Linked DNA regions of Oryzias latipes. The protein of the gene in region 1 interacts with the protein of each later gene in a pairwise test. Links are inferred from orthologs where the notes say so. Each region holds a gene or a part of one and is shown in the gene's direction. Other genes may lie near its edges.

Region 1 (13,001 bases):
AGCTGAGCGGGGCGCGCGGCCCCCCTCTGAGTTCACACGTGTAATAACAGAAAAGCTCTATCTCCAGGTGAGAAGCTGGTATACAGGGAGCCGGACCAAGAGGGCGGACCAGACCGGACCGTTTAGGTCTAGAATTCTGCTGAAACCAAACAGTCCGGAGTTTAATTACATATTTGTTCATGCTTTATTATTTAATTAATAACATAATTAACGTGTTTTTAACTGAAGCAGTTTCCATTCTGTGTTTGTTTGCTCCAATTAAATGTGTTTGTACAGTAAATTTAAATTAATAAGCTATAATGAAAACCCCTCAATGTATTTCATGTTAATCTAATAATATCTAACAAGCGCACAATTATTAACTGTGGGAGGCTAGAAGAAGCATCCACCTCCTCCTAGTTTAATCCAATATTCAAGTCATCCTAAAACAGTGTGAGCGCACATTTCATCCATCCTAATCCAATGTAATCCTCCATACATGTTAATCTAATGTAATACTTGGAAGTATGTGGTGGATCCTCGCTAAGCAGCAGAGCTTTTCCTCTTTCCTCTGTGTCTTTGGTAGTTCTGGAGGAGCTCTGGTCGTCATGAAACTTTGTGCTCTAAGGTCTGTCAAAACTCTGCAGCGGTCTTTTACTCATGTTGGTGTGCTGGAGCAGCGTTGCGGTGTTTTGCATGACAGAATCTTAAGCTGCTGGGAGTTGGAGTTCATTTTTGGCTCTGGGAGGGGTTTGGCCCCATCTCAGCAGAGAAGCGTGCAGCCTCACTTTTGACGTTTCTTTGTCCCCCCCCCCCCTTGTTTCTTTTCTTATTGTTTCTGCCTTAAAGGATCAGGTGTTGACATAAACAGCAGACGAGCGCTCGCCCCATACGTGCACACTAACGCCGTCACCCCCGACTTAGAGCTCAGAGGGTTCGCAGAGCTGCAATCTGGGGTTTTTATTTAGCCCGGCTGAGTTGGGTGCTCACTCCCACGCAGTCCAAAAACAGCTCCACACAAGGAGGCATGAAGCATTCTCCAGGGAGGGGGGTTGTGGATCTTAGTTTGACAAAAAACAAACTTCACGATTCGTTTTTTCAGGCTGACTCTCGTCTGTAGACGATTCCAGCTGTCAGGGAGCCGTGGATCGGTTCAATGAAGACCTGTGCGTTTAAAGCAGACTGTTTTATTTGGGATGAGGCTTCCAGAGGGCGGATCTGTTTGACAGATCTGTTCCAGAGAGAGATGAAAGCAGCTGTAGGCTCCTCTGCACATCTGGACCTCGTTCAGGAGCAGAACTCTGCCCCATCAGCCATCAGGTTCCTCTCATCTGGATCTGTTCTTCATGGCTGTCCAGAGGAACACTGGTTCCTCCTGCTTAGACCTGGGTTTGGATGTCGTGTGAGGAACACATCAGCCTGCATTCATGTAACATGATGGAACGGGAGATTCAACATCTCATTACTACATGGACATAGTGCCCCCGCCCCCGCATTCCAAACAGGAAGGACCTGCTAAAATCCCATAGACCTCAATAGAGAAATAATCAGCTGTTGCTCAGTCACTCTATTGTTCTGGATTAGGGCTGCACGATCTGAGGAAAACTCGCGATTTTCGATATTACTGATCAACATTGCGATGATGATATAACTTGCGATACATGAACAAATGGCAGGGCAACCAAAAACATCGTTTCCAATTCACTGCTACAGTTTTAATTTAAAAAGTCAAAATAACTTAAATTATACAGCAAATGACCCAAGGCCACACAGGAGGGGAACATCTAACATCAAAGGGTTTCGTGCGATTGGTCAACGTCGTGAAGAGGGTTCATCCGTCCATCCATTGGTCAAATGCATAAATGGATTTTTTTTGATTCATTAAATACTTCAAGCTTACTTCATAAGATTGTTTTAGCACATTTAATGTAACCATTTAGTGCAATTTTTACCGTCTTTTGCGATATTTGATTGCACTACTTGATATCGCCATAACAATAAATTTGCGATTTATGTGCAGATCTATTCATGATTCTTTATCGCATGTTGTTTAAGTTATAACCTAACCAATCAGATGCCTCAGTAAAGGCTTGTGGTGCCCGCTGGCCCCCTCCTGGAATGTTTGATTGACAGACAGACCACTCACTGTCCTTTGGCTCCAACATGGCGGTGTCCGTATCGCAGAAAAATGGCGACAGAATTGGGTTCATTTGGGCTGGAGCCGGAGGTGAGGCATTTTCTATGGGTGACGTCTCACTCGCTCTGTCCAGTTCTCTATATGCTACAGTTCAGTGGCTCATTGCAGCCCAGCGGCAACCGTTTCCTTTTTTGTTGAGGATGATTTAAAAGAAAAAGTAACTGTAGTCAGATTAGTTCACTGAGTTACTTCTAGGGGGCTTGTGGCTCTCCGTTCCCAACAGTCTGGCTCAGAATGTGATTAGACTTATAAAACCGCTGCACTGGGGGGGAATTTCTATGTTCTACCAACTCTGTTTTATTTATTTTTTTATTGATGCTGCTCTCAAATGTGTGTGGCTACTTGATTGATCGGAAACTTTCAAATTCTCTGGGCGTGTTCCAACCGCTGACTGTATGAGAACTGGACTGAGTGTGACGACGCCCACTAAAAATGCTTTACTCCCGTCACCAACCAAAGGAATTCAATTAAGTCCCAATTTTTCCATGTTACGGACGCCGCCACGTTGGAGCCAGCCGACGACAGTGAGCGGCGATTGGTCCGGTCTGAGTCAAGGTTTTTATGGCCACCACTCTTGCGAATCAGGAGTGAGCTTCTTGTAAAGCCACACCCCTTCTACTTGAAAGTGGGCTAAGGAGAATCTGTCAGTCTAACGGTACTATTATTGAGGCATCTGATTGGTCAGTTTATGACTCGAATAACTTGCTCTACAGAAAAAAGAGGATTATCCAGAACAGGTATCAGAGCAAGAATGGGTGTTCTGACCAATAAAATGACTGAGTAACAGCTGTTTACTTCTAGAAGTCTACAGGATTTTAGCTTCTTGGAGCCAGCAGGTACTTCCTGTTTGGAAAGCGAGGTGGGAGGGGTCACACAGTCCAGTTCTCAAATGTATAGTCAATGGTTCTGGCAACTGACAGGTGTGGTTGTCCCGCCCATTTTGCTGTTTCTTTTGGAACAGTTGGGGCTTGATGATGTCAACAAGATGGCGTCAGAAGTGAACAATGGCTTCAGATCAGTTTATTTGCCCAACATGACTTCAGGGTTTTGGGTCACATCTGAGCCGGACCCAAAAGGGGTTTTGATGTGTTTAGGAGACAAAAAAAAGGTTTAAGTTTTCTGAACTTTAAATGAAAACGAACAAAAAAACATTTGAACCCAAAAAGATAAGATTTTTGGTAGTTTATCAGTGAGCAACAACTTTCCTCTGTCCTATCAGCACCATAGTCAGAGGCTAGAAATTCCTAAAGCTGGTGGATTTTAATACATGAGAAGTCGAGATAAAAAATAAGAGCTGGGAAACCTGAGCTGTGTGTCAGCAGGGGTCTGACCTGAGCTTTTTGACTCTAGAAAAGATGGGAACTCTGTTCTTTTGTAACCATGCATGCTCTGAAGTCGGGTCAGTGAAGCATGCTGGGAAGCGTGCAGGTCCATGGCTGCTGCTTGGTTCAAGTCAGTTCTGGCTCTGACAGGGAGTCACGCTGACTAATCCTGATTATCCTGTCAGCTGCCTTTGATCAGCACAGCTCAGGTTTAGCTCCAGGACAAAGGCGCCGTTTTCCCCTTTTCCCAAAAACACAAGTGACTCACTTCCTCATGTTCTGCTGGTTTTCTGTGCAGAAGCTTGCTTCAGCCCAAACATTGAATCCTGCTTTTTCCTGCGCCCACTTCCTGTCTTGCTGTTTCTGCAGATTGGATCGCAGCTGAGTGGGTGTGTTTTTCAGAGGTGACTGACTGAAAGTTGTGTGTGTGTGTGTGTGTGTGTGTGCAGGTTGGCTGTGAGGCTGACGATGTGGTGGGAACATGGAGCCTCCTGAGTACCTGGACCTGGATGAGATCGACTTCTCTGATGATTCAGTGGTCAGTATCTCGAGCAGAAACGACACAAACTCAACCGGCGTCTTCCCCACACCTTTCTACCTCAATGGGCTTTTCTTAAACCTTAGTCCCAGCTGCTCTTATGGGTGGATACATGCTGTCAAACCCGTGGGGGGGGGCACACAGGGGGCTCGCACAAAACTTCAGTCGTAGACAACTCGGTGAGCCCGTAGAGAGAAAATGTTCATGCACATTTTTTCTACGGGCGTGCAGCAGGTGGTCGTAGTTAAGAGATTTTTGTAGTTATACTTTTCTATATACTTTTAAAAGCAATTCAGTCACTACTTTTTTGTTTTTTTAACAGTGATGATGATGTCATCAATTTCACGAAGTTGAAATTGTTTGTTAAAGAGGTTTTGCGATGACCATTTATGAATCCACTATCTTCTGAAGGTTAAATGGTTGGTTTATTAAAAAAAAACATTTAAATACATTCTTTTGGCCAAAACGCAATGCATTGTGGTCTATATTCGCTAATCCAGTGAGCATCGATGCACACTAGTTTTTTCGCAGAGACACTCGATTTTCGAATTGTAGATCCAAACAAGCACTACAAAAAGTCAAACGCACTATGTAGTGCGATATGTTGTGAGTCGTGAAGGGATTTGCACACAACACTTGTGTTCTTATGACCGTGCAGACAGGAAATGACATCATAGCGGGGTCACAGGAAGGGTCACTAGGGTTGAAGCGGTTTCTCCTCGCCCGTTTAATTCCTGCAGCTTGGTGTTTATATGATGAGCTCAGGGTCTCACTGCTCGCACCCCCCGTTGTCCCGCAGTACGCCGTCTCCTCCCTGAAGAGCATCCCTGCGCTGTCCCGCAGGAGCGATGTGCCGGCCGAGGACAGAGCAGGTGTGTTTGATCCTGCCTCTCTTCCCTTGGCGCTCACCGCCTCACACACTCACCTGTTTTCCTCCCGCAGCTCCGCCCATCAGCTGGGGCCGCAGCGTCTCCTCACACGGCGGTGGGGGGATCAAACCGGGGGGGCTGGCTGAGGTCCACAGTAAGTTTCGGCCGGTGAAGAGGGTGTCCCCCCTCAAACACCAGCCCGAAACCACAGACTCGGACTCTGAGGGGAAGGACCAGGCGCTGGGGGAGCAGGAGGAGCTCGGCAAAGATGGCCCCACCTCTGTCAAGCACTCCAACCCCCCCACACCGCTGGATGGGTCTGGGATGAAGGTGAAGGGGCCCAGCAGCAGCATGGGGGAGGGGGGCGGCCCCCAGGCTCTGTTCGGGGAGCTGGAACACTACGACCTGGACATGGATGAGATCCTGGACGTGCCTTATATCAAGTCCAGCCAGCACGTGTCCACACTGCCTCGAGCCCCCCTCGACAAGCGATCTGTGATGGGGGGTAATGCGGGTGGGGGCACGCTGGAGAGGAGTCGAGGGGGGGTCCTGAAGAGCTCCGGTCTGCCCCATAATGAGCCTGTGAGTTTGGGCAGTAGCTCGCAGACGCAGGTGAGTCCTCTGTCAGAAAGTTAGTCTGTTTCAACCCGCCCAAACACACACGCCCCACCTCCACCTACACAATAATGGGTGTAAAACATGGGGGGGGGGGTCTTAAACCTGTGCTGTCTCTGTTTTCCTCCAGTTCTGTGTTCTGTCTCCGCTGAAGTGGTCAGATCTACGGAAGTCCAGGTCCATGGATCCAGACCTCCACCTCCTCAACCGTTCTCCAGGTGGGGGGGGTTACCAGCCGGAGCCTCTGTCCTCCTCCCTCGCCTCCTTCTCAGATGCAGGTGGGGCCTCAACCTCTCCGCTCTTCCCACGTAAACACAGAAAGTCACTAATCGGACTCGTTTCCAGACAAGCTGCTGTCTGCTCGCGTCTTCCCGGACTCCCAGAGACCCCCCATGGATCCTCCGGGGGGGTCAGGACTGGTCTTCCCCCTGCCGGGCTGCAGCTTGAGCAGGCAAGACAGCACCAAGGTGAGGACCCCTAGTGCTGGAAGTGGAGCAGTGGCACTGAGAGGCTTTGGAATAGCAGGAGGGGAGGTGGATGAGGAGACCAAAAAGAAGCAGAACATCATCAACATCGTCAGGGAGGGGCAGATCTCACTGCTGGTCAGTCACACCCTCACTGTTTATTAACAGGCGTCCTCAGCGCTGCCTTCCTCACCTGCATCCCCCCCCCCCCCCCCTTCTCCTCCTCAGCCTCACCTGGCGGCAGACAACCTGGAACTGATCAGGGACGAGGATGGAAACAACCTCCTGCACGTCTCCGCCTCCCAGGGCCACGCCGACTGTCTGCAGCATCTCACCTCTCTGATGGGGGAGGACAGCCTGAACGAGCGCAACAGCCAGCAGCTGACGCCCGCCGGCCTGGGGGTCAAGGTCAGTTCCTGTCACGGTGTGCCAGGTCTGCGCCCAAAATTGTGTTGATGCAAACACGAGTGGAGATTGGCTCAGAGAGGAAGCATCATCCTGACTGAATTCACCCCGACTGTGTGCAGAACGGTCATCTGGAGTGTGTGCGGTGGATGGTGAGCGAGACGGAGGCCATCGCCGAGCTCAGTTGCAGCCGAGAACATCCCAGCCTCATTCATTATGCGGCTCGATACGGTCAGGTACGATCCAACGTCAAATCAGAACCCAGAAATCTGTTCCTGTCAAGGACTTTATCCTTCACACACATGAAATGATTTCACACAAAGACGCCTGTCGTGGGTCAATAAAGGCAGAGGCGCCAAGGTGAAAGTATTCCTGTGTTTAATGCAAGAACAGAGCACAACAACTGCTCCACAAAGGCCAACCAACATATGTTTCTCCACCTAGACTCCCACACTCCACTCTGACACCTGTAACAGGTCCTCTTTAAAATGGTAAGCCCCTCCTCCAGGGCGTAGCTCTCCATCAGTCCAAAGGAAGAAGGAAAAGAGTTTTACATTGTTCAAAAACATAAACATTCAGAAACAAACAGTTTCATACAAAGAAACATTCTGTGTTCATTACAAAGAAATTCCAATAACCCTTAATAAAAATAAATACAAACAAAGACCGATGCGTCACATGACCCGGTGTGTCGATGACCACTTCAAGGTAAACAAATGAACTCTAATGATGGCGTCGTGTGTGATTCGTGTAAATGTATGCGTGAGGATGATGAGTCGGCAACCTAGTGTGCTACCTGTAGGGGAATAGGAACGGAAAGAAGAAGGTAAGTTAATGTAGATGATGTGTTTACTGGTCCCTGCGTGCGCGTCAACTGCTGTTTTGAAGGAGCCCCCCTCCTCAGCATCCGTCTGTCTGTCTGTGTGTCCAGGAGAAAGTCCTGCTGTGGCTGCTTCAGTTCATGCAGGAACAGGCCATCTCTCTGGACGAAGTGGATCAGAACGGGAACACGGCCGTCCATGTGGCAGCTCAGTACGGACACCTCACCTGCATACAGGTGAGCTGAACATCCTGTAGTGACGAACACGTCAGTATCAGGCAAAGATTCATTTGTCCAAACAAAATTCATTTCAAATCCATCAAATAACATGTAGAGACTTTTTGTACCACGACTGAGAAGTTTTTCACCTTTTTGTTTTGTTGACTAAAAGAGGAATAAGGAGAGCAGCACCAAGACTTGTAAATGAGATTCTATGGATGTTCAGGATCAGCAGGATGGTTTTCCGGGTGTAACTACAGCTGGAAGAAGTTACCACAAAAACTAGGCCGAGTGCACTTCAGTACTGTGATCCGCGGCTTTGCTTTTATTTTGAAAATAACTAAATAAAGAGCCAGTCACTTTAAAAATGCTTCAGACTTTGAGGAGTTTCTGTCATAAACAAAGCTCCATACGTTGTTACTGCATTTTTCCCATGATCCCGTCTCGCTCATGAAGCCATGACATCCTTCCTGTCCATGAATCTCATGCCCAGACAAAACCTCTACTCTGAGAGTAAACCAAACAGGAAGTGTGGAAGCAATCGCTGTAAAACTCAAACTGGCGGAAAGAACGAGTGAACTGAGTCTTTGCAAGCTTCATCAGCTCTCGTCAGACTCCTCCTGGTTCTGATCTGAGCTCACTTGTGCGCAGACTCTGGTGGAGTACGGCTCCAACGTGACGGTCCAGAACCAGCAGAGCGAGCGGCCCTCCCAGAGTGCTGAGCGGCAGGGCCACACCACGTGTGCCCGGTACCTGGTCGTCGTGGAAACATGCATGTCGCTGGCCTCGCAGGTGGTCAAACTCACCAAGCAGCTCAATGAGTAAGTTGTCGTGTGTTTGGGTCAGGAAACCTGTCCAGAGCTGGTGGACGGAGGGAAAAGTGTCTTTGACGATGCAGAAGCAGTGAAGGCGCCTTGAGCTCCTCTGGCGTTGCTTTGCAGGCAGGCGGCAGACAGGGTCAGCTTACAGAAGCAACTCCAGAGACTGATGGACCCCAACAAGGGAGAGGGGACGCCATCCAGATCTCCCAGGTACCACAAACACACCACAGACTAAACTTCACAACTTTAGGACTCACTGGTGATGCCAGCGTTGGTTCGTGACGTCTTGATGTCTTCAGCAGTGGGTGGAGTCCAAAACCAACATGGAGGTGAATCTGATCGGTTTCCTCCTGGACTTTATAATATTTGTCTTATTTGCATCGAGTCAATAATGAAAAGTTCCTGTAATTTTATTTTTTCCCCTCCTCGGACTAATGTGGGACAGCAAGTCATCAAACTGGGTCACAGAGAGACGGAAGTAGCGCTGAAAGCGTCCGTCATTCAGACGCAGCTCCTGCAGGAGACGGTGAAGCTCACCGCCTCTGATTGATCTCTGAACCCAGACATGGAGACGCGATTACCGGTGCTTTTGTAGAGCTCTTCAAAATAAATAAATCTGATCTCCGAACATCATCTGTGTCATCCGCAATGTAACGATGAGGCTGAACACTTTTGCAGTAGCTCCGCCCATATGGGGCGGAGCGGCAGATGTATGAACACAAGTGTCCAGCCGTGAATCGGAAGCCCGTCTGAATAAAGGCAGAGGACGCAAATTTAATAAGCCAATTGTGTTTGTGAACACAGCATCATCTGTCCCATCGCTTTACTTTACTTTACTTTGAAAATCCGTTTTGAATGAGAAGAAAACACAGAACGTGAAAACTATGGAGGGAAAAAACAGCCAAGCTTCGTTAATTGCTTACTTTCATAAATAGTTCTTGGAATAAGTTTATATCAGAGTAACAATACTTAAAATTAGTTATCTGAACCGACCAAAAACACTAGAACCAGTTTATTTCCAGTTTCTGTCTCACTTCTTTGTGTGAAACAGATCTGAAAGGTCAAAGGTCGGAGGTGATTCTCAGTCGTTTTTCTCTTCTACAGTCTTGACAAAACACTTCAGTTGAACGATGTCCAGGGATCCATTTACTGTCTGATCCATCCTCGTCTCCCTCTTTGAACTCCAGCTCCCATCAACCCTCAGTGGAGGCGTGGCCAGAGATGATGCTGACAGCGGAGGGGACGCCCGGCGACACCCACTGGTCAGTTCGTCAGGGAGGGGTGGGGCCCGATTCTGTGCTGCGTCAGCTGCTGGGAAAGGACGTGCCTGACTCCCTGTGCCCCCGGGAGAGGCTGCCCCCCCCGGCAGGCCTTGGAAGAGAGGGCCCCGGACCCGCTGGGGGCCGCAGGCTCGGACTGGTGGAGAGGCGGGAGCTGAAACTGGCCAGGCTGAAGCAGATCATGCAGCGCTCCTTAAGCGAGTCCGACTCGGATGGGTATCCACCCGAGGAGGGCAAGAACCAGGGGGGGGCGCACCCAAACACGCAGAGGCCGGATAGGCCCACCCACCTGCCGATCGCAGAGGAAGAACCCGGACCAGACTCCCTCCACCTTGTGACGAAGAAGCAGCTCTCTGCCCCCTCCTCGTCAGCAGAGAGGAGGCTGGCCTTCTCTCTGAACGGATCCAAGTCTGCAGACAGCATCGGCGTTAACTCCTCCCCCACCTCCAGCGACCCCGAAGCTGCTGACGGGAAAACTCCGGAGACACCCAACGACGCGCATGACGGACAGAAAGTCGCAACCAGCCCCAAGAGCGCCCTAAAGTCGCCCTCATCACGCAGGAAAACGTCCCAGAACCTCAAGCTGAGGGTCACCTTTGATGAGCAGGTCCACAAGAGCTCCAATCAGGAAGCAGAGCCTTCCAAAGGCCCGCAGGGGCGGGGGGGCACCTCAGCGGGGGGCTCCGAAAGCAAGCGGCCGTTCGGGGCGTTCCGCTCCATCATGGAGACGCTGAGTGGGAATTCCAACCACAACAACAACAATACTCAGGCAGGCTCCGCCCCCAAACCAGCCACCTGCCAGGGCTCCCCCAGCAGGAAGTCAGAGGGCAAAAGCAGCCCAGGGGGCGGAGCCAAGAGCAAGAGCAAAAGCAGTAACGTTTGAGGAAGCTGATGAGGCGAATCCTCTCACTACTTAATGCCACTATAAAGGGCGTTTGCCGTTTTTTTCGGGGTGTCCAAATTCTCAGAGTCCTGAAATTTTCCCAGAAGCCTTTGCTGAGAACCAGACTGGCAAACTGGAAAATACAGACCACAATGCATTGAATTTGAACAGTTTTTTTAATTAAAAATGTAAATTAATGTTTCATAAATCATCTAAATTTTTATTGGAGAACCCAAAAAGATTCATAAGTGACTTTTTTTAAAATGTTGATCAGGTTTTCACTTGAGAAGATGGGTGACGTCATATTTAAGTTCAAGTGAGCACGAGTCAGAGCTGCACTGAAGTCCAGCGATAGTCCTGCACCACGTGGTCGTTTAGGGAGTCGGGAGGGAAGCAGACACAGAGTTCATCGCCATGGAGAGGTGCAGGTGGGCGGGGGGGCTGTGTCTCTGTCCGGGGGGGGGATCCTCTGAGCTGTTTGTTCAACTGGATCATTGCATTGACTGTAAATGAAAACTGGACTGAGTGAGTGTGAGGTCACCCATGGAGAAGAACTCACTTCCAGTTCCCGCAAAATGAAGTCGGACCACTTTGGAACCAGACATTAGTTAGCAGTGATTGGGCTGAATCGACGTTTTTCTATGGCAACCACTTGTGCCTGTTGGAAGGCCACGCCCCTTTGGGCTACACCGCATACTTCTATTGAGGCATCTTAAAAAAATATAAACAGATGAGGATTATAAAGAAAATGTTTTTTAAATAAAGGCATCAGATCCAGAAAGGTTCTTGTGACCAATGAGTAACGACTGTTACTCTATAGACGTCTACGGGATATTGGCTTCTTGGAGCCAGGGGGTACTTCCTGTTTGGAAAGCGAAGGAAGGGTCTCAGAGATTGGCAACTCCAGACATCCGAGCGCTACTGGTGACGGATTACCTGGTTCAGGTGTTTCCAGCCAACGGGAACATGCCAGAGCGGGGTATGTTGGAAAACATGCATGCGGCCCTCGAGCCGCCCATCCTGGAGTTATATGCCATAGAGAGGGGGGGTTAGAAGGCTTCAAATGAGCAATGATGATGATGATGATGAAGGGGCGACATCTTTGCTGGCTTTCTGAATCAATTCAGACTTACAGCAGCAATTCAGTCAAATTCTGGTTCTTTTACTCATTTCCATTCAAAACGTCTTAAACTTGTTAAAATGATTAAAGAGAGGATGTGCAGTTTGAAAAAAAATAATGTTAAAGCTGCTTTTGCCAGAAAAAGATGAATTTAAATGGATTCAGTTGATTTTCAGAGTCGGCTCTCCTGAACAGAAACGGCTGTGAGGAAGAGCTCTGCAGGATGAAGGACGTTTGGATTTAGTTTGAATTTGTCACTTTTGTTTCTTCTATTGAAAGGAAGAGTCCTTGTTCTTTTTGACTTATATTTATGTTTCTGCACACAGTTATGATTTATGATAAACGTGCACAGTGTTAACATGTAACAGCACAACAGAAAACCACTGTATATATATATATATGTTTGTATTTAAGTTTTCTTTGCTTTGACTTGTGTTAAGGATCTATGCAGTATTTTTGCATGAAGTAGATAGGTAGGTAGCTGTGTGATTTTCAGACGGGGGGGTTCAACGATGCACCTTCTACCAAGTATTGATGGATGATGAGGATGATGATGAAGGCTGAGAAACGTTTAATTGTAAGTGAAGCTCCTCTCCTGACTGAAAAAGTGAAGCTGGACTCACAGAAAAGCTGCTTTTCAACATCACTAATGAGAGCTTTAGCCTCTTTTTATGGAGCTGACTTTGATCTGACGTGTTTACAATAAACATTTGAGGTTTCAAAAGAAAAAACATCTTTGTTTGAAGCAACACCGATCAGTTTATTACATTTCTATTTCCAATTAAAGTGGTCTGGTTATGAAAAATGAATTTTCTTAAAGCCACAGAGGGCATTCACACCGGCACAGACGACGGGCTGCAGACGAGATGACGTCATCGACCAAATAAGCAATTTCCCCAAACCGTAACCCAAAAGTGTTCAGAATTGTAAAAGAAACATCGGCCAGAGGGTCTGCAGGACCGTGTTTGCTGCCCTCAGGTGGACAGCAGTTGGAACTGCAGGATGGGTCCAGGTGGTTTCAGTCCTCACTTCTCTAGCCCTTGTGCTATCAACGGCACATTAACGTTGGAAGTGGGGTCCAGATGACCCCACAAGACGGTGAACCTTTTTTCTTCAATGATTTTTGATCCTCACTGGTTTCCAAGGATTACATGAAATCCTCTCCACCTTTGTCAGGGTAGCGATAACACGTCAATGTAAAGGTGGGGTCAGGACCCCCCCCCCTCCCCGTCCGATTGAGATGGATGCCTTGTGTGAATTGTTGTGTCCTCTAATTTAGCGAGCGATTCATAACGCCGCCTGAATGTTGGCCGCCCCCACCGCCGCAGCAGGATCAGAAATGGTCACTTAACGGCGTGCGATTTATGGTTTTTGGAGGACAAATTGGCCTTTGATGGTTCCCACGCGGCGGGCAGCGTTCCCCAGGGGCTGCGAGAGGGGGGGGGGGGCTGTAATGGGGCCCCTTCATC
Region 2 (11,937 bases), on another chromosome or scaffold:
TCTGCCCAGTCACCGCTGTTGTTCAGGTGCACTGCTCGTCAACCTCCCTCATTTTGGTTCGCTTCCACTGCACTTCTGGAGAACAAAGATCTTCACATGAAACCGGATCTGTTTTTTTTTTCTTCTGTGCAGGCCTAGGCCTTCCTCTAAATCTAGAACCAGAGAACCATCAGGATCTCCTTGCAGCTCCAAAGAAACCTCACCCAGTGTGTTCTCTGCACAAGAAGAGCGTGTTTGTACTGACAGATCTGAGCTGCGTTCAGACCTTCAGTTTTATGGCAGACCTGGTTCAAGTCAGGTCCAGCGTTCTCTGGATCCCAGTGAGGAGGTTCCTGTCTCCTCCTCCTCCACCCTGAAGACCAAAGTTACCAACTCTGAAGAGACCCCTACTTTGGATAGTTTCTGCCCCCACCCTACCACTGAGGAGCAGGAGCAGAACCAGTCTTCTGGCTGGTGTTCAGCTCTGGTTCCAACTCCCAGGTTTGGCCGCCAGCTCAGTGAAGGAGGAGTCTGTTCGTCCTCTCAGAACCCTTTCCCATTCCCCAAACGGAGGCCTCCAAGGCTCTCTGAGGCTGCGAGGAGGCTTGGCCTGTACTCCCCATGAGAGCCTTGCACAACCTCATGAACCAATCAAATCCAAAAGCACCAGAACAGGAAGAGCTCAGACAACGTTTGAGAAGCTCGGGAAACAAACCAAGAACCAAATCAGTTCTTCTTATTTCCGGTTCCCTGATCTTAATGAGGAGGGTCCTCAGGGAGCGTCAACATATCCACCAATTAGTTCTCAAGAAGAGCCATTGAGGATCCCCTTTTGTGTTTAGTTTTGCAGTGTCCATTATAAAGAAAAATCAATAGTCAAATGTTGAGAGCATTATCCTGTGGTTCTGGTTAATCTTTACATAAATAAAATTAGCAAAACTTTTTTTGAGTTTTTGGTCTGTTGATCACACATCTTATGTTCAAAAAGAATACTTTTGAGTTTCAAATGCTTAAATAAAGTTAGTATAATATTTCCAGCCACATTTGTATACTACTTTTTTTAAATGTTGCTTTTTGAAAAAGACGGAGAAAGTTGGACCCTCGTCAGACACCGTAGTTTTGCCAAGATCATCTATTGTTGACGAGCTGATGGGTTGCTGGTTCCTCGCGGGCCGGAACTGGCTGGTTTTTCGGGCCGTGGTGCGTGTCGCGGATCTCTGAGGGTGTGGGGGCTCTTCTTGGGTCGCAGTTTCTCTGAACCGATCCTTGGCTTCAAAACAACATCGTCACGTCGCTCCACATCTGCAGGCTTTTGACTGTTTTGTCATCGTGACGGTTCCGTTCCGTAAACAGTCGAGGTGAGTTCTCACTGACATGTTCCTGTCCGATCCCGAACCAAACTTTCGGCTCAAAACGGACCCTTTAGTCCAGTTAAATGATCACAAATTTGTTAACTTTTGTTAGCGCAGATCTGTTGTAGGTCACACAGCCGCACCAAGTTATCCGGGTTGTGTTGAGCGAAACCTAACGACAGACTCAGAGGCTTATTTACGTAACTTAGCATTTCTATCGACATCTGATTAAGACAACAGTTTTAAATCTGCTCGTTTTCATGATGAACAGACGCATTCCTACATTTCCCAGAATGCAACAATGTCTTCCGGTCAAAACACCCGAACACCTACATAAATAAACATTTCAAATGATGAAACGACACAAATTAAAACATGATTGGGCAAATCTATAAGCTTTGATGTGAGTTCTGCCTGGACTGAGTGACCCCCCCCCCCCCTCGTGTCCCAAACAGGAAGTACCCGCTTGTTCCAAAATCCCATAGATTTTTATAGAGAAATAAACAGCTGTTAGTCATTTTATTTGTCAGAATAACTATTCTTGCTGTCGTCTGTTATTGATAATCCTGATATTTCTCCCTTTTTTCTTCTGTAGGCAAGTTATTCAAGTTATAAACTGAGCAATCAGATGCCTCAATAAAAGTATCTGGGCTCACGTCACACATTAAAAACGAATAACAGAGGCTCTGTCAGAATTCTGACCCCTATATAATGCACTATAGTGCGTTCGCCATTTTGTAGGGCTGTCCAAATCTACAATTCCCAAATCAAGTGCCCTAGAAATTTCCCAGACATATTTCCCAAAATGTGATTTTATGCTGAAGATGACCTTGTCCTTTCCTACACACATATACTGGTTTTAATGGCTGCTCTGTTTACAGATCCACGAATGTCTTTTTGTGGTGCTGTCTTGTTGTTAAAATTATTCATCTATCCATTTTCCAAACCTGTTGGATCCCTTTCGGGGTCACAGGGTTCTACTGATGGGCAAAGGTGGGGTCCACCCGGAACAGTCAGTCGCAGGAATGCACAGACACATGCACACCAATTTAGAATCATCAAATTAACCTATGAAGCATGTTTTTGGACTGAGGGAGGGGAAAACCCACACATGCTGTGAGGTGACGGTGCTAACCACTACACCACCATGCAGATCTTTTTCAAACTAGTGCCCTCCGATCTGTGAGCACCAAGGATGGCATTTTTAAGGATAGAAATCAACTCTTATAACTTTCGCAGATTCTGCTTAACGTGAAATCAGGAAAGAAGCGGGTCAGAAACCTCACAGTTGTGTGCGCAGTCCCACTTCCTGCTGGTGTTTTCACAGACCATGGCAGAGCAGAACATAGAGGCCAAGCTGAAGAACTTGCTGAAGCAGGAGAAGGTCCAGCTGTGGAGTCCTCCGTACACCGATGACGATGACCAGCCGGGACAGATGCACATGCAGGTCAGCCTCACACGAGAGCAGAAACTCTGCAGCTTTTATTGTGAAATAAAAAAAAAATACCTGTTTGTTTTCTTTTGTTCTAACATCCTGTTCCTTTGTCTGCAGGAGCTAGCACAGCGTTACGCTCCTGTGCTGCATCTGTCAGTCACAGAGTTAGGGGGCGCTCTAGAGTCCATCAGAGTACAGGCGGTGAAGAGGGGAAAGAGAAACAAGATGTTTAGAGAGACCAGCGTAGCCACGCTTGAACTGCTGCTGCCCAGAGACAGCAGGAAGGTGGGTCTTCATGACTTCTCCTTTATGCTTCAGAGAGGGTCTGCAGATGTCCTCTGAAGCAGTGATGTCCGTTTGTTTCCAGAATCTGAAGGGGAGGAGCTTCCTGCAGACGAGGCTGGACGTGCCGCTGCAGCAGTTGGTGCAGAGGTAAACACCCGAGGTGGAGAAATCACAGGTTAGGTCAACCCCCGTTTGAAGAGGGGGGGGGTTAACGTCTGTGTCTGTGTGCAGGATCAGGGAGGAGTTTGACCTTCAACACATCAAACTGATCCTCAATGGCAGAACTCTGTGCGCAGGTAAGACTATAAACCCGTAGGAACCAACAGGGACCTTCAGGAACCAGAGACATTGAGGAACCTGGAGACCCTCAGATGCAAAAGTTATTATACCAGTTAGCTTTGATGTAGAAGAACCTTGCATTTTCAGATCAGCGTCTGGATGAGCAGGGTGTGAAGAATCACAGTAAGGTGATGGTGCTGAAGGTGAGCGACTCTGAGCAGATGAACAAGGAAGAGCAGGAGAAGAAGGAGCAAAACGAAAGCCTTCAGAGGACCCAGAAAGGCTTCCAGATCCTGTCTGAGAGAGGTAGGCCTCAGTGCTCTTCCCTTTGGGAATTGGACATTTACATTTGAGATTGGGACGAAAAATATTTGGCTTCTATGGCTGATCTGTCTGAACCAGATGGCAGCGAGGATCCAGAGTCCGTGCCGTACCTGGAGATTGCAGACCAGAAGGGAAACCCACTAAAGATCCCACACCACGAGAAGAAGGTTTGGATCCTGCAGACACTCCTCTTCCTAAAGTTTTGTTCTTTAGATTTTCTTTCCACTCCTGGTTCATCAGTCTTTCATCTTGCAGCTCAATTGTGTTTTATGATCATCATCCTTGTTTGAATTCTGGATAATCTCAAAAACCTTTGCAAAACGTCGTCTAAGTCTACTACAATTATGCTTGGTCTATACTAAGGCAGGATACTTGAAGTTTACTATATATATTATCTATCTATACACTCAATGTATCAGCTCCACCTTGCTAGTACCGGGTTGGACCCCTCTTGCCTTCAGAACTGCCTTAATCCTTGGTGGCAGAGATTAAACAAGATACTGAAGACATTCCTCAGAGAGTTTGGTCCATATTGACATGAAAGCATCACACAGTTGCTGCAGATTAGTCGGCTAAACATCCATGATCCCAATCTCCCATTCCTAAGATCTGGTGAGTGTGGAGGCCAATTGAGTCCAGTGAACTCATTGTCATGTTCTACAAACCAGTCTGAGATGATTCCAGCTTTAAGACATGGCACCTTATCCTGCTGGAAGTAGCCATCAGAAGATGGATACACTGTTCAGAAAGGGATGGACATGCTCAGTAACAATACTCAGGTAGACTGTGGCGTTGGAACTATGCTCAGTTGGTACAGGAGCCCAAAGTGTTCCAAAAAAATATCCCCACATCATGACACACCTCCAGCCTGAACCGTTGATCCATGCTTTATGCTGTTCATGCCAAATTATCCAAATATTGCAGCAGAAATGGAGATTTATCAGACAAGATGTTTTTCCAATCCTCTATTGTCCAGTTTTGGTGAGTCTGTGTGAATTGTAGCCTCAGTTTCTTGTTCTTACCTGACAGGAGTGACACCCTGTGTGGTCTCCTGCTGCTGTAGTCCATCTATCTCCAGGTTGGACATGTTGTGGATTCAGAGATGCTCTTCTGCTGACCACAGTTGGAACCAGAGTTCCTTTGAGTTCCTGTTGTCTTTCTATCAGCTGGAACCAGTCTGGTCATTTTCCTCTGACATCAACCTGGCATTTCCACCCACAGAGCTGCCACTCACTAGATATTTTCTCTTTTTCTGACCACTCTCTATAAACCCTAGAGATGGTTGTGGGTGAAAATCCCAGTAGATCAGCTGTTTCAGAAATCCTCAGACCGGCCCATCTGGCACCAACAACCATGCCAGCTTCAAAGTCACTTCAATCACCTTTCTTCTCCATTCTGATGCTCGGTTTGAAATCGTCTTGACCATGTCTACAAGCCTAAACGCACTGAGTTGCTACCATGTGATTGGCTGATTAGAAATTTGCTGGACAGGATTGCTCAGATCAGTTGTCATGACTTGTCAAAGGTCACACTCTCAGTTGCACGTGATTTATGTGTGTGTGTGGATGTGTGTGTTCAGGCTCTGATCCTGGCCATGGGTCTCCACGAGAGAGGCCGTGCTCTCATGAAGAAGCAGCAGTACGACAGCGCTCTGTGTCACCTGCTGCAGGCTGACGAGCAGTTCAGGTACACGGCTGCACCTCCGCCCCCCTCCCCCTCCGGCAGCATCTCCTGTATTGAGTCTGTGTGTGTTTGTGCAGTAAGTGCGGCTCTGCGCTGCTCGCCTCGGTGGACAACTTCTCTGTCCTGCAGCTGGACATCGTGTGGTGCTACAGAGCTCTGGAGGCGCTAGGCTGCCTGGAGGATGGGCGCGGCCGGCTGCAGCGCGCCGAGGACGGCTTCCTGCGCTGCTACGGAGAGCAGCAGCAGAGGCTGCTCAGGATCCAGGTGAGACACGTGGGCACTCACGTGCACGCACAGGCAGATGGTGAGAAAAGGCTTCAGTGAGAAGTTTCTCTCTCATTATATGCCTGAATGGAAGCAGCGAGCAGGTAACCTTTCACTGAGATGGTTCAAAGATGAAGAAGGTTCATTCTCTTCATGACCTGCTGCCAAACATAAACCATCTCACAGATTCTGCTATTCTTGCAGCTGTGAGGTCTTCATGCTAAGATGAACTACTTTGTTTGATATATATATTATTTCATGCTCAGATTCAGCTTTTTACACTTTGAAGTCCCAATTAAATCATTTTTTGATCTCTTAAAAGTGTTCCCAGTGGTCTTTTTATTATGATTATGCCATTTTTAGCCAAATAAAAAAAAACTTTTTTTTTTTTTTTTGGGCAGTTTCTGCTGGAGTTCATTAGAAATTCATCTCTGAGCTGTGGGCGGGACTGTGTGCACGGAGCAACCCTCCCCCTTCCCATCCCTGTTGTTGAGAGCTCTCTGTTTATGTGCTCTCCCATTAGCTTACAGTCTGTCACATCCCCAACTTAACATTAAAGGTGAAACAAAAATGGCGAGCCATACAGTTTTGAATTAATTTTTCTTGTCTTATTTCATCATCATTAAGGGGCCTCTGTGGGCCCTCCCTCAGTCTGGGGCCCCTGGAATCAACCACCTTTACCCCTTTTCAGCAACCCAGCATACATGGATCTATTTGTCTGCAAGTAGACGGATCAGAATGGAGCAGAGCTGGGAGCTTGTGTTCAGCCCAGCGTATTTATAATACTTTGGGCTGTTTTTTTTTTCAAATGGCATTTCTTCGTCCACTCCTATTAACTATAATTTAAATAAAAAAAAAAGCAAATACAATTTTGATCGTAGGTTTCTTTATATATGTCATATATATATATATATATATATATATATATATATATATATATATATATATATATATATATATATATATATATATATATATATGACATTGTTCTCCATCATTAGAAAAATGCCCCAAGAACTTGTTCATCGGAGTGGTTCCTTAATCGTTTTCACGAGTAGATGAACGTCAGATGACCGCCACTGACGAACAGCTCCAGCAGAACTGCATGCAGCTGTCAAACAATAAATCACACATCAACTGGTTTCAGGGAAACTCTGGCCGAGAGGACGTTCTGTTCCTGCGCCTGTACCTCCTGCAGAGCCTGCTGTCCTACATCGAGGGGAACGACGCCCAGGCGCGCCTGCAGCTGTCCAAGGTGGGTCGCCGCAGCTCTCCTGACCGGCTCTGATGCAACGCAGCACTCAAATGTTTGCTTGTCTGTCAGGTGGAGTCCCTGTACGCCCGCCTGTGTCCGGACTCAGAGAAGATGGCTCAGCTGATGGCGCTCGGGTTCACCGAGAGAGAAGCTCGTCTTGGACTGAGGGCGTGTCACGGAGAGCTGCAGGAGGCTGCCTTGTACATCAGCAACCGCCAACAGGTCCCGCACACGTGCACCCACACGCCTGTGCTCTGAGATCATTAGAACGCCTGGTCTGAGTGTGTGGTTTCCTGCAGGAGCGGCAGGAAGTAAAACAACGAGAGAGGAAGAAGAGGAAGAGGAGGATGGACGCCATCTCCACCCTGACAGAGCTGGGATACTCCAGGAGAGATGCGGCCAGAGCATTGCACCTCGCTGACGGGAACGTGGACAGAGCCTACAATGTCAGTCTCACGTGCAGCCCTCCGTGCACATGCACGGGCACTCTTTGTCTCGTGCGCCTCCCAACTCATTGGTGTGTCTACAGATCCTGCTGGACTCCAGTCAGCCTGAAAGCTCCAACAACAACCTAGAGGAGGGAGTCGGTCTGGAGAATATTGATCAGGTGTGCCCTGCTCTTCCGTGTGTTTCAGTGTTTTTGTGTCTGTCATTGTGTTTGAGTTTGTGCCTGTCACTGTGTTTCAGTGTGTGTTTGTGTGTTTGTCAGCTGCTCTACCTCGGCTTCCAGAGGGACTCGTCTGAAGCCGCTCTCAGGTTGACGGCGGGGGACGTCCAGGCCGCAACTCAGCTGCTGCTGGACAACCAAGGTGTCCTCTCCCCAGAACTGCTGAGTCAGCCTCTTTCCTCTCTTTCCTCGCCATCGTCAGAGGAGCCCAGCACCTCCTCCACCACTCCAGGTAGAGCCAGACTCATTTGTCTGTCCACTTCTTCCACAATGGATTTTTAGCTGAAACCCAAACTGGACACGGGGAACATCAGAGGAGTTCTGTCAGAACCTGAGCAGCGTGTCTGTCAGTGATGGTCAAATTTTTGTTTTTGTTCTTTCAGAGGAGAGTGAGCTGGTCAACGAGGTTCTGGAGGACATCCCCCGTCATGAAGAGGAGTATCTGGACGTGACGCTGGAAGAGGAAGGCCAGCTTATTGCCACCTTAAAGGCTTACCTGAACCCGGGACCCGTGCACACCATTTGACGGTCACATGACCCGCTACGTGCGGAACAGCACAGCACCATCATGCTTCCATCCTGAATCCACAAACAAATCCCGAAAGTCCGGGTTTCAAGCAGGCTCTGTCTTTTTTCAGAGATTGTTTGACATCTAACCAATCTGAGCAAAAACAACAGATCCAGCCTGGGTCAGAACCGAGCCAGCCCCCGACTGATTCTGTGTGTGTCCCTCTACTGTGAGAAAAGTGAAGATGAAGAACAGCCATGACTTCTTCAGTGTCCTGCTCTGATCAACTCCTGGTACCCACCACAGATTGGACAATTTGAGGCAGACATCCACCGAGTCTTCCAGAACCTTCTGCTTATCAAACAGTGTTTGTAGATGAAGGTGCTGCAGAGTCCTGCTGCCTGTTTGTAGTTGCTGTACATTTTTGTGTGGACTGTCTCAATATTAAACATGACGGATTAACTTCCTGTTTGCTTGATAACTTGGGTTAGTACAGTGCTTCTCAATTATTTTTGCAAGGCCCCGCCTAGGAAAAAGCTAATGTTTCGCCCCCCCCCCCCCCCCCCCCCCCCCCCCCCCCACACACACACACACACACACACACACTCACTGCGGTGACACTATATTAGGTTAGTATGTATAAAAATTGTGTATCTTTTAACATTAACAGAAGAAAAAGGCGATATATAACTACACATATATCAAATATTAACTTCATTTTGCCACAGAAACACTGTTATTCTAAAACAGAAAAAAAGCTTAAAGTGCCTGATATAAAAAATCTGTCAGTCCTTATTAAAACTAGAATCATTTTGACCAACTGAACCATTTGATGCTAAGAAAAAATAATTCAATGAATAATTTTAAATGTTAATTGATCTGAAACATTAACACAGCAGCACCAATATATTTAACATTGTTAGTCTGAAGAAATTCATAAAAAACATTGTGCTGATTTTTTTTTCTAAATGACGGATTGTGTATTTCTGGTCTCATAAAGTGCAGCTGTTTCCTGCATTACCTGCTGTCTCCATGTCAAATACTGACACCAACTAAACGACAGGCAGACAAAGAATACATTGACGGAAAATAAAGACACGTCATCAAAATGTCTACAATAGTTACTAAAGAATGACATTATTTCAGTACCACACTGTGATATGGCCTGTCAAAAGGCTCTCATTGTATTTTGGTGTTTATACCAAACTTCCTTAAAAAATACAGTCTTTGTCCGACTTTCTTTACTACTCTGGATGTAAAGCAGGGGTGTCAAACTCCAGACTTTGAGGGCCAGCATCCTGCTGGTTTTCCAGAAATACTGTCTTATCTGCGATTGATTACCTGGATCGGGTGTGTTTAGCCAATAAGGATCTTCAATGGCACATACGTTGTAAAACATCACCTGGAGTTTGAGACTTGTGATGTAGAGTCCAGGACAAATTCTCAGTTATGTGGACACAGTGGAATTTGAAGCTGCTGACCTGCTCTACCTCAGCGTTGTTGATGTACAGTAGATGAAGGGGCGCTGGTTTTTACACTTTCTCCTAAAGTCTGTGATCATCACCTTAGTTATTAGAGCTTATTTTCCTCACACCAGCTGATCATTGATGCCATCTCTTCTCCGTAGGCGTCTTGACATTGTTGGGATGAGACCTAGGATGGTGGTGTTATCGGCAAACTTTAGGATGAGGTTGGAGCAGTGCCTGCCGGTACGGTCATAGGTGAATAGGAAGCAAAGGAGTGGGGGTCTACCTGTAGTGAGGACGTGTGTGGAGAAGAGGTGACTGCTAATTTTTATTTCTTGGGGTCTGTTGGTGAGAAAGTCTCATATCCAGTTGCAGATGAATGTCTCTTAACTCAGAGTGCAGAGAGGAGGGATACGAACGACTGAAATATGACATGACTCTGCTATGGATTTGCACTCATGACCACATGCTTTTATTTATTTATTTTTATCAAACTCCAACTGTCTGTCCCTGAATTTGATACAAAACAGGAAGCACTAAATGTTGCTGTTTCTCCAATCACCACTGTGGGCTTGTTTATTGAAGAGAGCAATTCCTATAGACTCTCATGTTAAAAAGTTCAAAGCTATGCCAAAAATCGATTATTTACATTCTGGGTACGGGGCCATTTTTTGGTGTTTTCTTTTTCTGTGTTCATCATTTATCGGAACTTTAAGGCAGAGGAGTTCATAATTTTATGTGCCATTTTGGTTTTGTTAGAGCCCCAATTTGCACTAGCAAGTGGGTTTCCAAGTGAGTAAACTCATCAAAACTTTAAACGTTACTTTGTTTCACCTAAATACTGGTTTTGGGTCATAGTTGACTTGGGCAGAGTAAACTCAGATCAATGAGCCGGTTTCCTTTCTTTTCAATTCTTTTTACAGAATCCATTTAATGACACGAGACATGATCCATCAGTGCTTGTAGGCCCCGTTTGAATCACGTTTTATGTGGTTTTGAGATTCCTATGTATATATGATAGAAGTGTGAAATAAATCATTTTCTAGTCTGTGAGCAGCTGGAAATGCCTGTTCACCTCAGTTCCACCTAAAAGGGCTGAAGGAGGTGTGCAGAGGATGTGTGGACTTTCTTACTGGCTCTGCTGTGCCTGTGGTCCAAACTTTGAAAAACGTATGGATGCATGGGTGAATAGGTTAATCAAAAAGGTTTTAGTGGATTTATACCCATTCTCACGCAGAATGGACCAGACTCTGACACCTTCTGATGCCTCCAGTAACCACTAGATGGCAGAATTTGTCTGTTTGCGTTAGCTGGAACTGAGTAAGCATTCAGTAGATGTTTGTTTAGCTTGTGACATGATGCCTCCCACCACACAGGATTTTAGAATAAGGGCTAAACAGATGTAAATTTTCAGTTGTAGGTTGACTTTATGTTGCTCGGATGCAAATGCAACCCTCTAGCTTTAATTTAAAACTTTTCAACCATGACATTAGAGTTAAACTGATTGAAATATGTCATGTTTCATTTTCATATAAGAGATCCTCAAAGAATTTTTGACAAAAAGTTCTCACACAAAACAACACACACACAAGGTTTGATAAAAAAACCTGTTTTCTTATCTCAGTCTGGGTTTATTTATTGTACATGATGACATTGCTGTAAAAGTCTGAGGAGAGGGCGCGTGGGCTTAGAAGTAGTTGACGATTCTGCGGATGGACAGAATGTTGGGGTTCTGGGCCTGCCACTCGTTATGGCTGCAGTAGTTTCCGCGCTCCACAATGTACATTCGACCACGGAAGTTTGGCTCCTCGTACATCACCCAGCTGGAGGTGAAGGGAAGAGGCGGGTGTTAAACATGGGTAGACATTCAGTTTGCCGTGGTAAATATCATTTAATAAAAGAAAATTACCTGCTGAGTCAGCCAATTTAGCAAATTTCTTTGAGGATGAAGGTAAATGACAGATTTTTGTAAAATTCTGTATAACTTGTACTGTTTCTGTTTGACATGTGATGTTATTTTAGAGACATGAAACCAGCAAATGGTTAAAAACACAAAAGATGATGTGGAACAGGAAGAACCTACAGACGAACAGTTGCATCTACATCTTCTAACTTTCATGTTAGAACTCCAACACTCAGGGGAGCGAAGGATCATCTGGGTTTATTTATTTGTGCTGATGTTTAAAGCTTTTGACTTTAATGTTGATGTTGGAAAACTAAAGAGATGCTGAACTGTGCCTTGAAAATTCAGGGTTGTGTCAGGAAGGGCATCCGGCGTAAAAATCTCTGCCAAACCATCTGTGTGAATCAGTGAAAGCTGATTTGGTGTGGCGACCTCTGAAGGGGTATTATGAAAGGTGATCAACAACAGCCAAAGACGGTTCATCCATTTGAGAACATGAGTGTAAACTTCTGCGGTTGCTGGTATGTATTCAGTCAA

What was found.
Region 2: the proteins of sncaip (region 1) and nub1 interact in a two-hybrid assay, tested with the Homo sapiens proteins (2 studies listed by BioGRID). The link is inferred for Oryzias latipes from reciprocal best matches to the Homo sapiens genes SNCAIP and NUB1.

Annotation. Positions count from the first base shown.
Region 1 is NC_019867.2:29,614,038-29,627,038, reverse strand, and holds the end of sncaip (synphilin-1), read left to right. Parts: intron 1-3,459; exon of another isoform or gene 3,460-3,947; 5' UTR 3,948-3,979; coding exon 3,980-4,036; intron 4,037-4,835; coding exon 4,836-4,908; intron 4,909-4,978; coding exon 4,979-5,517; intron 5,518-5,650; coding exon 5,651-5,798; intron 5,799-5,865; coding exon 5,866-6,122; intron 6,123-6,212; coding exon 6,213-6,392; intron 6,393-6,511; coding exon 6,512-6,625; intron 6,626-7,320; coding exon 7,321-7,446; intron 7,447-8,079; coding exon 8,080-8,249; intron 8,250-8,369; coding exon 8,370-8,459; intron 8,460-9,436; coding exon 9,437-10,412; 3' UTR 10,413-12,263; downstream 12,264-13,001. UniProt on the Homo sapiens protein: Isoform 2 inhibits the ubiquitin ligase activity of SIAH1 and inhibits proteasomal degradation of target proteins. Isoform 2 inhibits autoubiquitination and proteasomal degradation of SIAH1, and thereby increases cellular levels of SIAH.
Region 2 is NC_019878.2:4,787,505-4,799,441, reverse strand, and holds nub1 (NEDD8 ultimate buster 1), read left to right. Parts: upstream 1-1,125; 5' UTR 1,126-1,337; intron 1,338-2,658; 5' UTR 2,659-2,661; coding exon 2,662-2,778; intron 2,779-2,883; coding exon 2,884-3,051; intron 3,052-3,133; coding exon 3,134-3,198; intron 3,199-3,282; coding exon 3,283-3,347; intron 3,348-3,477; coding exon 3,478-3,636; intron 3,637-3,732; coding exon 3,733-3,821; intron 3,822-5,233; coding exon 5,234-5,340; intron 5,341-5,414; coding exon 5,415-5,601; intron 5,602-6,748; coding exon 6,749-6,856; intron 6,857-6,925; coding exon 6,926-7,078; intron 7,079-7,155; coding exon 7,156-7,302; intron 7,303-7,385; coding exon 7,386-7,463; intron 7,464-7,543; exon of another isoform or gene 7,544-7,565; coding exon 7,566-7,755; intron 7,756-7,906; coding exon 7,907-8,049; 3' UTR 8,050-8,498; downstream 8,499-11,937. Other genes in the region: uncharacterized protein LOC101171205, read left to right, coding at 1-26, 133-604; crygn (gamma-crystallin N), read right to left, coding at 11,185-11,320. UniProt on the Homo sapiens protein: Specific down-regulator of the NEDD8 conjugation system. Recruits NEDD8, UBD, and their conjugates to the proteasome for degradation. Isoform 1 promotes the degradation of NEDD8 more efficiently than isoform 2.